2 linked regions of the Mus musculus genome follow. The protein of the gene in region 1 purifies or fractionates together with the protein of each later gene. This does not show direct contact. Links are inferred from orthologs where the notes say so. Each region holds a gene or a part of one and is shown on either strand. Other genes may lie near its edges.

Region 1 (3,822 bases):
CAGGGGTAGGGAGACAGAGACAGGCAGATACCTGGAGCGCACTGACAAGCTAGCCTAGATGAATCTGTGAACTCCGCTCATTGAGAGAGCTAGTCTAAAAAATAAATGAAAGGCAATACAGGAAGAGCTCTGACATCGCCTGTGGCCTTCACGTGTGTGCACACAGTCAGAGGCACAATAGGTACTCACCTGTACGATTATGTAGGAAGCAGACGCAAGAGGATCAGGAGTTCAGAGACAAGTTCAAGTCCAGCCTGGGCCATTTCAAAACACTTCTAAACAAACAAAAGTTACCAAGTATTAATAGGCATGTAGCCTGGGCTGTAGAGTGGAGCTCTCCTCCATCATCTCAAAAACCCAAAGACCATAAACCCTAGCAATAAATATGCAATTGTGTGAGCAGTCATTAGGAACTGGTGATATGGAAGTACACATTTTCAATTTCTAGGTGTTATTGATTACAATACAGAATGCTTTTGGTGGCACTGTGACTGCCTGAGAAGGTAGAGTTTTTACGCATATCTAGGGTCTCTCTTCAATCACAGATCTTCTCAGGCACAACTGAATAGCAAAATACAGTTCACAGTGGTTAGACTTGACGTGGTGTGCATTCACCTTTAAATTTTACTTTATGGCTTTAGCTTAAACAAGCACACATATTTCATCCTTAGATCCCTTGAATTTTGGGTTGGAGAAATGGCATAGCAGTTAAGAGGGCATACTGCTCTTAAAGAGGACCTGAGTGTGGGTCTCCGGTTGGGTGGTTACAACCCCACATTCAGGGAATCGATGGACTCAGGCCTTTCCTTGCACCTGCACACTCACAGTCGCATCAACAGACACACTGACTGCCTGCCTCCCTCCCTCCCTCCCTCTTTCTTTTTCTTTTTCTCTTTCACACACACACACACACACACACACACACACACACAAATTTTTTTTTCAATTAATAAAAAGCAAAACCTGAATTTATCAAGACTTGGTGGCTTATGCCTGTACTCCCAAGACTTGGGAGGCTGAGTTCAAGGCCAGCTTGCCTTATATGGTGAGAGACTTTGTCTCAAAACAAACAAAAAACACTTAATATTGTAGATGTGGTGATTCCCAGGTCTGGGTCAAAGATAAATTTATTCAGGGGACATTTCTGGCTCTTTTTGAAAAATATTGTTCCTGAAAAATAAGTATATTTTAGCTGGGCATGTCAACATACTTCTCTGGTCTCAGTACCTAGAAAGCTAGACAGGAGAACTGGCACAAGTTTGAGGTCTGGGTTACGTGGTGAAGGCAGGGTTAACCAGGGTTACACAGAAAGATGATGTCTCAAGCCAAACAAAGAGTAAACAGAAACACATGTTACATATGTCACAGGACTACCGTCTGCTAATCCCAGAGTTATGGTCTCCCCAAAGGGAATTTATTTCTTGGCTTAATGATGGGATTTGTATTTTCAGCAGGGTTTTGCCTACCCTCTGACTATTTAGACTCAGTATAAATGTCTCCAAGGCTGACTTGTTTTTCTCAGTAGGCGTTAATGAGTACCTTTAATAGTGGACTCTGCTTTCTCCCACATCAAGGAACCTGAAGACATCAATGCAGATGATGAGGTAGAGGACACCTGTGACAACAAGGAGGATGACCTGGGGGCCGTGGAGGAGCAGCGCAGTGTCATCCTGCACCTTCTGTCACAGCTCAAGCTGGGCATGGACTTAACCAGAGTAAGTGACAGGTCAGCGCCTGGGAGGCCAGGGCTCTGTACCTCAAGCCTCAGACTGACAGGAGACAGCCCCGTGGGGAGCTTCATGGCTGCCATCCTTGCACAGGTGAAACCAAGGCAGGAAGATGGCCAGCCTGAGCTACTTAGGAGACATCTGTCATAAATAACCTGAGATTTGGGTTCCATGGAAAGCTGTAAATGTAGAGGTGAAAGATTGTTTTCCATACATACCTGTCAGGGCACTTTAAACAGAAAGCCTTTTGTCTTTAGAATTGACTCTACATCACTGAAAAGTCAAAACTGTTCTTTGTTCATTTGTTTGTCTGGGGGGTGTTGTGCTTGGTTGGTTTTAGTTTTTTAACTTAGACTTGCACACTTGATAGGAGCCTTTTCTTTTGAACCTGTGTGTGTCTATATGATGTGTGTGGTGCTACAGGCAAGCGTCCGTTCTTTCCTTCCAGCATACTTTAGAGGGGTCAAACTCAGGTGGCCAGGCTTGCAGTGCGACACTGCAGGACACACTGTCAAGAGAGCTGCTTACTAAAGTTTTCATGAGCAGTGAAGAGGTCCTTACCTACAGCTTTTTGTTTTGTTTGATTAAGACAGTGTCTGTTTGTGTAGCCCTGTATCTCAGTTTGCTCCTCTGTTGCTGTGATAAAACAATGACCAAAACTAACTTGGAGAAGAGTTTATTTCCGATTACAGCTCATAGTCTGTCATGAAGATAAGTTGAGACGGAAACCTGCAGAGGGGAACTGGAGCCCAGGCTGTGGGGGAGTGCTGCTTACTGCTTATTCCTCGTGGCTAGCTTAGCCTGCCTTCCTATACCATCCAGGATCACCTGCCCAGGGATGGTACCTCCCACAATGGTCTAGGCCCTCCTAAATCAATCACTAATCAAGAAAATCCCCTATAGACTTGCCTACAGGCCAATCAAATAGAGGCATTTTCTCCATTGAGGTTCTTTCTTCCCAAATGATCCTGGCTTGTGTCCAGTTTATAAAAACGAACTAGCAGGACTGGTGAGATGGCTCAGTGGGTAAGAGCACCCGACTGCTCTTCCAAAGGTCCAGAGTTCAAATCCCAGCAACCACATGGTGTCTCACAACCATCTGTAACAAGAACTGACTCCCTCTTCTGGTGTGTCTGAAGACAGCTACAGTGTACTTACATATAATAAATAAATCTTTAAAAAAAAAAAAAAAACGAACTAGCACATACTGGCTGGCTCACGTTTGAAGGAATGCTGCCTCATGCTCACGAGTGCCTTGATTGTAGGTGTGTGCTGCCATGCTCAGCTTCGCACAATTTATCTTTTTTTGTTGTTGTTGTTGTTTTGTTTTTGTTTTTCGAGACAGGGTTTCTCTGTATAGCCCTGGCTGTCCTAGAACTCACTTTGTAGACCAGGCTGGCCTCGAACTCAGAAATCCACCTGCCTCTGCCTCCCAAGTGCTGGGATTAAAGGCGTGTGCCACCACGCCTGGCACAATTTATCTTTAAAGAGAAAAGGGGGTGTGGGCTGGAGTGAATGCCCGAGCAGTAAAGAGTGGGTACCGTTCTTGCACATGACTTCCGTTTGGTTCCCAGAACCCTCGTTAGGCAGCTTAAACCCATCTTTAATTCAGGGGACATGAAACCCTGCTCTGGCTTCCACTGGGCTTCCACTTGCCTGTACAATATAGACATAGAGTTAAAAAAATAAAATTAAATCTTTAAATAAAAAAGAAAGGAGAAGAAAAGATAAAAAAGAAAAAAAAAAAAGAAAGGAGAAGAAACCATGTTTTATCTAATAGTTTGGTAGTGTGCTATGTGTTGATATATTCACGCACCCTGGAATCTGAGAGCCTTAGGAAGAGGGTCAGACACAGCCCCGGAACAGTCCTTGCTGCTCTGGAACTCACGTCAGTCCTTCTGTCTGTTTTTTCATCTTGAATTTGTATTTAATCTTAACCATTCAGGCAGAGCCTCACCTCCTTTTAAACATGCTAGGGCTTCTTCCTGCTTGAGTTGTTTTTGTTTTTGTTTTGTTTTTTTTAATAAGACCAGGTCCTTTGGTTTGCATTTCTGTTTCCAATACCTGTCTAGTCTGAGATGCTCTTGGATGGTAG
Region 2 (3,822 bases), on another chromosome or scaffold:
TGAAAAGAGAGAGAGCACCGTGGCAAGGAGGCTTCACCTGAAACCTTCAGGGACAACTGAAGCCTGAGTTGACTGCAGACTGCCTACAATCATGTACCAATGTCACTGCAGACCTACCATCACCATTAATTAAAGCTTTCATGGACACCGGGCTCGGCAGGGAAAGGCACCGCTGCCACACTGGTGGCCTGACTTTCATCCTAGAAACCATACTATGCAGTAGAATGGAAGGCCAGCCCCACCAAGCTATCTCTGACACCACAATAAAACAATGTGATGAAAAACGTGACAACAGCATCAGCAAGCAATCCACACGACTGTCTTCTCCACTTTAGCATGTCTAAATGGTTTCTAAAGAACAGTATTTCAGGCATGGTGAGTGGAGCACACCTTCAATCCCAGCAATGGAAGAGGCAGAGGCAAGAGGATCTCTGTAGGTTCAAAGCCAGCCTGGTCTACAAAGTTCCAGAACAAGCCGAATCATGCCTTGGAAAAAAATATATATCAAAAAACAAAACCTTTTAATTGTTTAAATTTTAATTTTGTTCTGATATTTAATTTTTGGCAAGGAAATATGGATTGTTGAGAGCTAAACAAAGTTTAAACTACATTTCCAAAAATAACTTCTGTACAACTTCTACACTTACCACAGCTTCCATATCTGAAATGTTTGGTGGAGCAAAAATTGTCTGTACCATGAACTTATGTTTACTCTTTTCATTCGGATCATAATCAAAGGGTTGCAGCATTACTAAATAAACAGAGAAAGCACACTGTCATCTACAGTTTACGTCCTATTTAATACCACCACACTAACACACAAACTTAATGCATACCAAGATGGGTTCAAAAACTTAAATTATCCTCAAGAGGCACAAGCAGCCTTTTAACTTTCAATTATTATTAAATTCATTTTGTGTTGATTTTAATTTAGATAACTTAGACACTTTTAATATAACTTATTTTTAAACTGGATTTTAAACAATTACTCAGAATGTGTTCATTTGTTTAAATCTAATTTTAAGAAAACAAAGGATAACTGATTGGTCTTTAGACTTTATTCCCAGATCCCAATAGCATTCACTTTTACGTCTCCAGACCTGAGTTGCCTGTACCAAGTTTTAAGGCTCCAGTTCAATTTATGTTACGTAAATCCAAGATGAGGTGATAAACAAATCAGTAATTACTAATGTATATTGGATACATTTACAGTCAGGTTCTACTTCTAAACAGTCTCACTGAGCCTTAAATAACTTACTATTTTAATATTCTATAAACTTGAAAATAAAAGCTGTAGTTATCTTAAAATTTAGGGATCACCTAAGTTATCAGGTCACCAAGAATTTTAATACACACATTTCTAACTCCATGATCTGTAATGACATAATCCATTTTTCCTGAGCCTTTTGTAATTAACAAATGCAGGAGTTGAAAGCTATTGTTTTTTTTGTTTTGTTTTTTTTTAAAAAAAAAAAAAAAGGAGTAAGTCTGTGTGAGCACAGAGAGGTTTTCCCACAAGTTAAAGTCTCATGGAGCCACACATGCTGTCAGACCTGCCACCTATGGCACGTGTTACAAAGTACTGTCTCCTTGGAAAGGCTGTCTAAGAAAGGAACATTTGGATAGCACAGTAGATCTCACAGCAGGAATACGTGATGTGTATGGAAGGAACTACTGTAAGCAATAAACAAGGAACAAGACACTGTTGTCATTTACACTGAAAGGAATAAAAACTCATCTGATTTTAAAAGTAGGCCCAAAACAGGCATTTTTTTTTTAAGACTCAAACGCTTCTGTAGATGCACAGAACATGATTTAATCACAAAACAGTGCCATTTCAAAGATAAATAAGAACACAAGCTACAGTGGAAAGCTGTGGAAATACAGAATAGATAACATTTCAAATTGACCCTAGGCAATCATACACTCCCACGTAAGTCTCGAGGAGGAAAGGTTCAATAAAATGTCTGTACGGTAAGATACCCAAGGAACATCTTTACACAAACACTGAAGCCAAATAATAAACAGATAAAAACACTAAACATCAAATGCAACAGTCATGAAATGTCAATATTCAAACCTACAAAGGTCTAGGACATGGAGTACTACCTGAAACAGTCACAATTGACCCCGGGTCAATAATCCCACTGTTGGGCCGCACACAGTACCGGCGAGGTGCTGTAGTCTTCACTTTGAAACACACTTTTCTATCCGATGGATTTTGCAATTTAAGATTTGTAGTGACTACATCTGTGAAGGGGCCTGAAAGGTAAGGGGCAGACAGAGAAAAGATTAACTGGAGTCACAACAAAAGCATAATTCAAGATTAAGTTAATATAATCTCAATCCCACTTTTCTAAAGAAAACAAAAATTGTCTCTCTTTTTTTTCAACTTTTGATGATTTCATCCATAAAATAACTATGATTTTTGTTCTTTAATTTTGGTTACATTTATCATGTTTGTGTTGCACATATGAACATGTACATGTCACAGTACGTATGTGGAGATCAGAAGACAACTTTTTACAACTGGTGCCCTCCTTTCGTTATGTGGGGTCCAAAAATCCAACTCCAGTCCTCAGGCTTAGCAACAAGGATCTCCATCCAATGAGCCATCTTGTCAGCCAAACTGTACTCATATAGCATGTTCATAACACATCACATGACTGACACAAGTCCCCCAGTGGTCTTCACCAGTGCTAATCTTTACGTTCACAGGCCAACTACAAAACTAAAACCTGACAGTACTCACTTGTCTCAATTCATTCATGCACGTGTATTAAGTACTTATGAGTGGTATGTCATATGCTCTATCTAAATACGAAGTCTTGTCTTAAAGCTTTAATTCTGTACTCAACAAAACGAATTCAAAAAGCTGACCCAGCTCTACTTAACCAGTATATCCTCAGTTTTTTGTTTTGTTTTTAAAACGGGCTGTGAGATGTGAAGATAAACTTATTTGGTTTCATCTGAAAAGCCAAAACAGATTATACAGTCTAAGTTTCACAGCAAGAATTTCTTGTTGATTTTGAAGGCATTTTAATTGTTTTAATGGTCTTGTAATGGTTTTCTTGTTTAATGGTTTTAAATGGCCTTTTAAACATCTATTTTATGCTTTTGCTTTTTATTTGTCAAAGGAGTGATATTGATGATCTTAACTAGAGCACTAAGAAGACTACTGGAGCATGGCTACAGTCCCACATTCAACCACCAGCACCAAAAAGGGAGGGAAAAGTCAAGAAGCCTGAAGGAAAAGACATTATAAAAGCCTTCCTATTTTTATCTAGCCTTTTTCATTCCCTTATTTGTCACTTAGACTGTATGTCTACATGCACAGCATCATCAGGATCAATGCTTTCCTACCATGTGGGTTCAAGGGATTGAACTATTTTCAAGCTTGGCTGCAAGCTCCCTGAACCAGAGTCACCTTCTAACCTGTTTGAGTCATAAACAAAGACTATGTTTTTTAAAACTTTGCAACAGTCATACTTTGAAATCTAGATTTAGAAAATTCACCAACCATGTACAATAAACTTTGAGTGTTGGTAAACTGTCTGAGACAAAGACTTTTTAAAGACAGACTAAATGTGCCTAATGCCTAACATGAGAAAAAAAACAATTTCACAAAAGTGGGAAAATTTAAAACTTAGTTCAAGCCTTGAGAAATAAGCTTTTACTTGGAGTGCCTGTTTCATTTTATGCCACTCCTTTCTTCTGTAGGCGATCTTATACTCTTTGCTGCTACCCAATTGTTGGTTTCTGATCAATAGATGGTGTCAGTGCCCATAAATCATGACTGTAACTGAGAGCTTTAGTGTGGCA

The links.
Region 2: the proteins of Osbpl11 (region 1) and Vapa purify together in Homo sapiens (co-immunoprecipitation; 4 studies listed by BioGRID and IntAct, counting the BioPlex papers as one, with this or other methods). This does not show direct contact. The link is inferred for Mus musculus from reciprocal best matches to the Homo sapiens genes OSBPL11 and VAPA.

The regions. Positions count from the first base shown.
Region 1 is NC_000082.6:33,222,966-33,226,787, forward strand, and holds part of Osbpl11 (oxysterol-binding protein-related protein 11), read left to right. Parts: intron 1-1,574; coding exon 1,575-1,715; intron 1,716-3,822. UniProt on the Homo sapiens protein: Plays a role in regulating ADIPOQ and FABP4 levels in differentiating adipocytes and is also involved in regulation of adipocyte triglyceride storage. Weakly binds 25-hydroxycholesterol. Interacts with OSBPL9 to function as lipid transfer proteins.
Region 2 is NC_000083.6:65,592,793-65,596,614, forward strand, and holds part of Vapa (vesicle-associated membrane protein-associated protein A), read right to left. Parts: intron 2,263-3,822; coding exon 2,110-2,262; intron 752-2,109; coding exon 648-751; intron 1-647. UniProt on the Homo sapiens protein: Endoplasmic reticulum (ER)-anchored protein that mediates the formation of contact sites between the ER and endosomes via interaction with FFAT motif-containing proteins such as STARD3 or WDR44.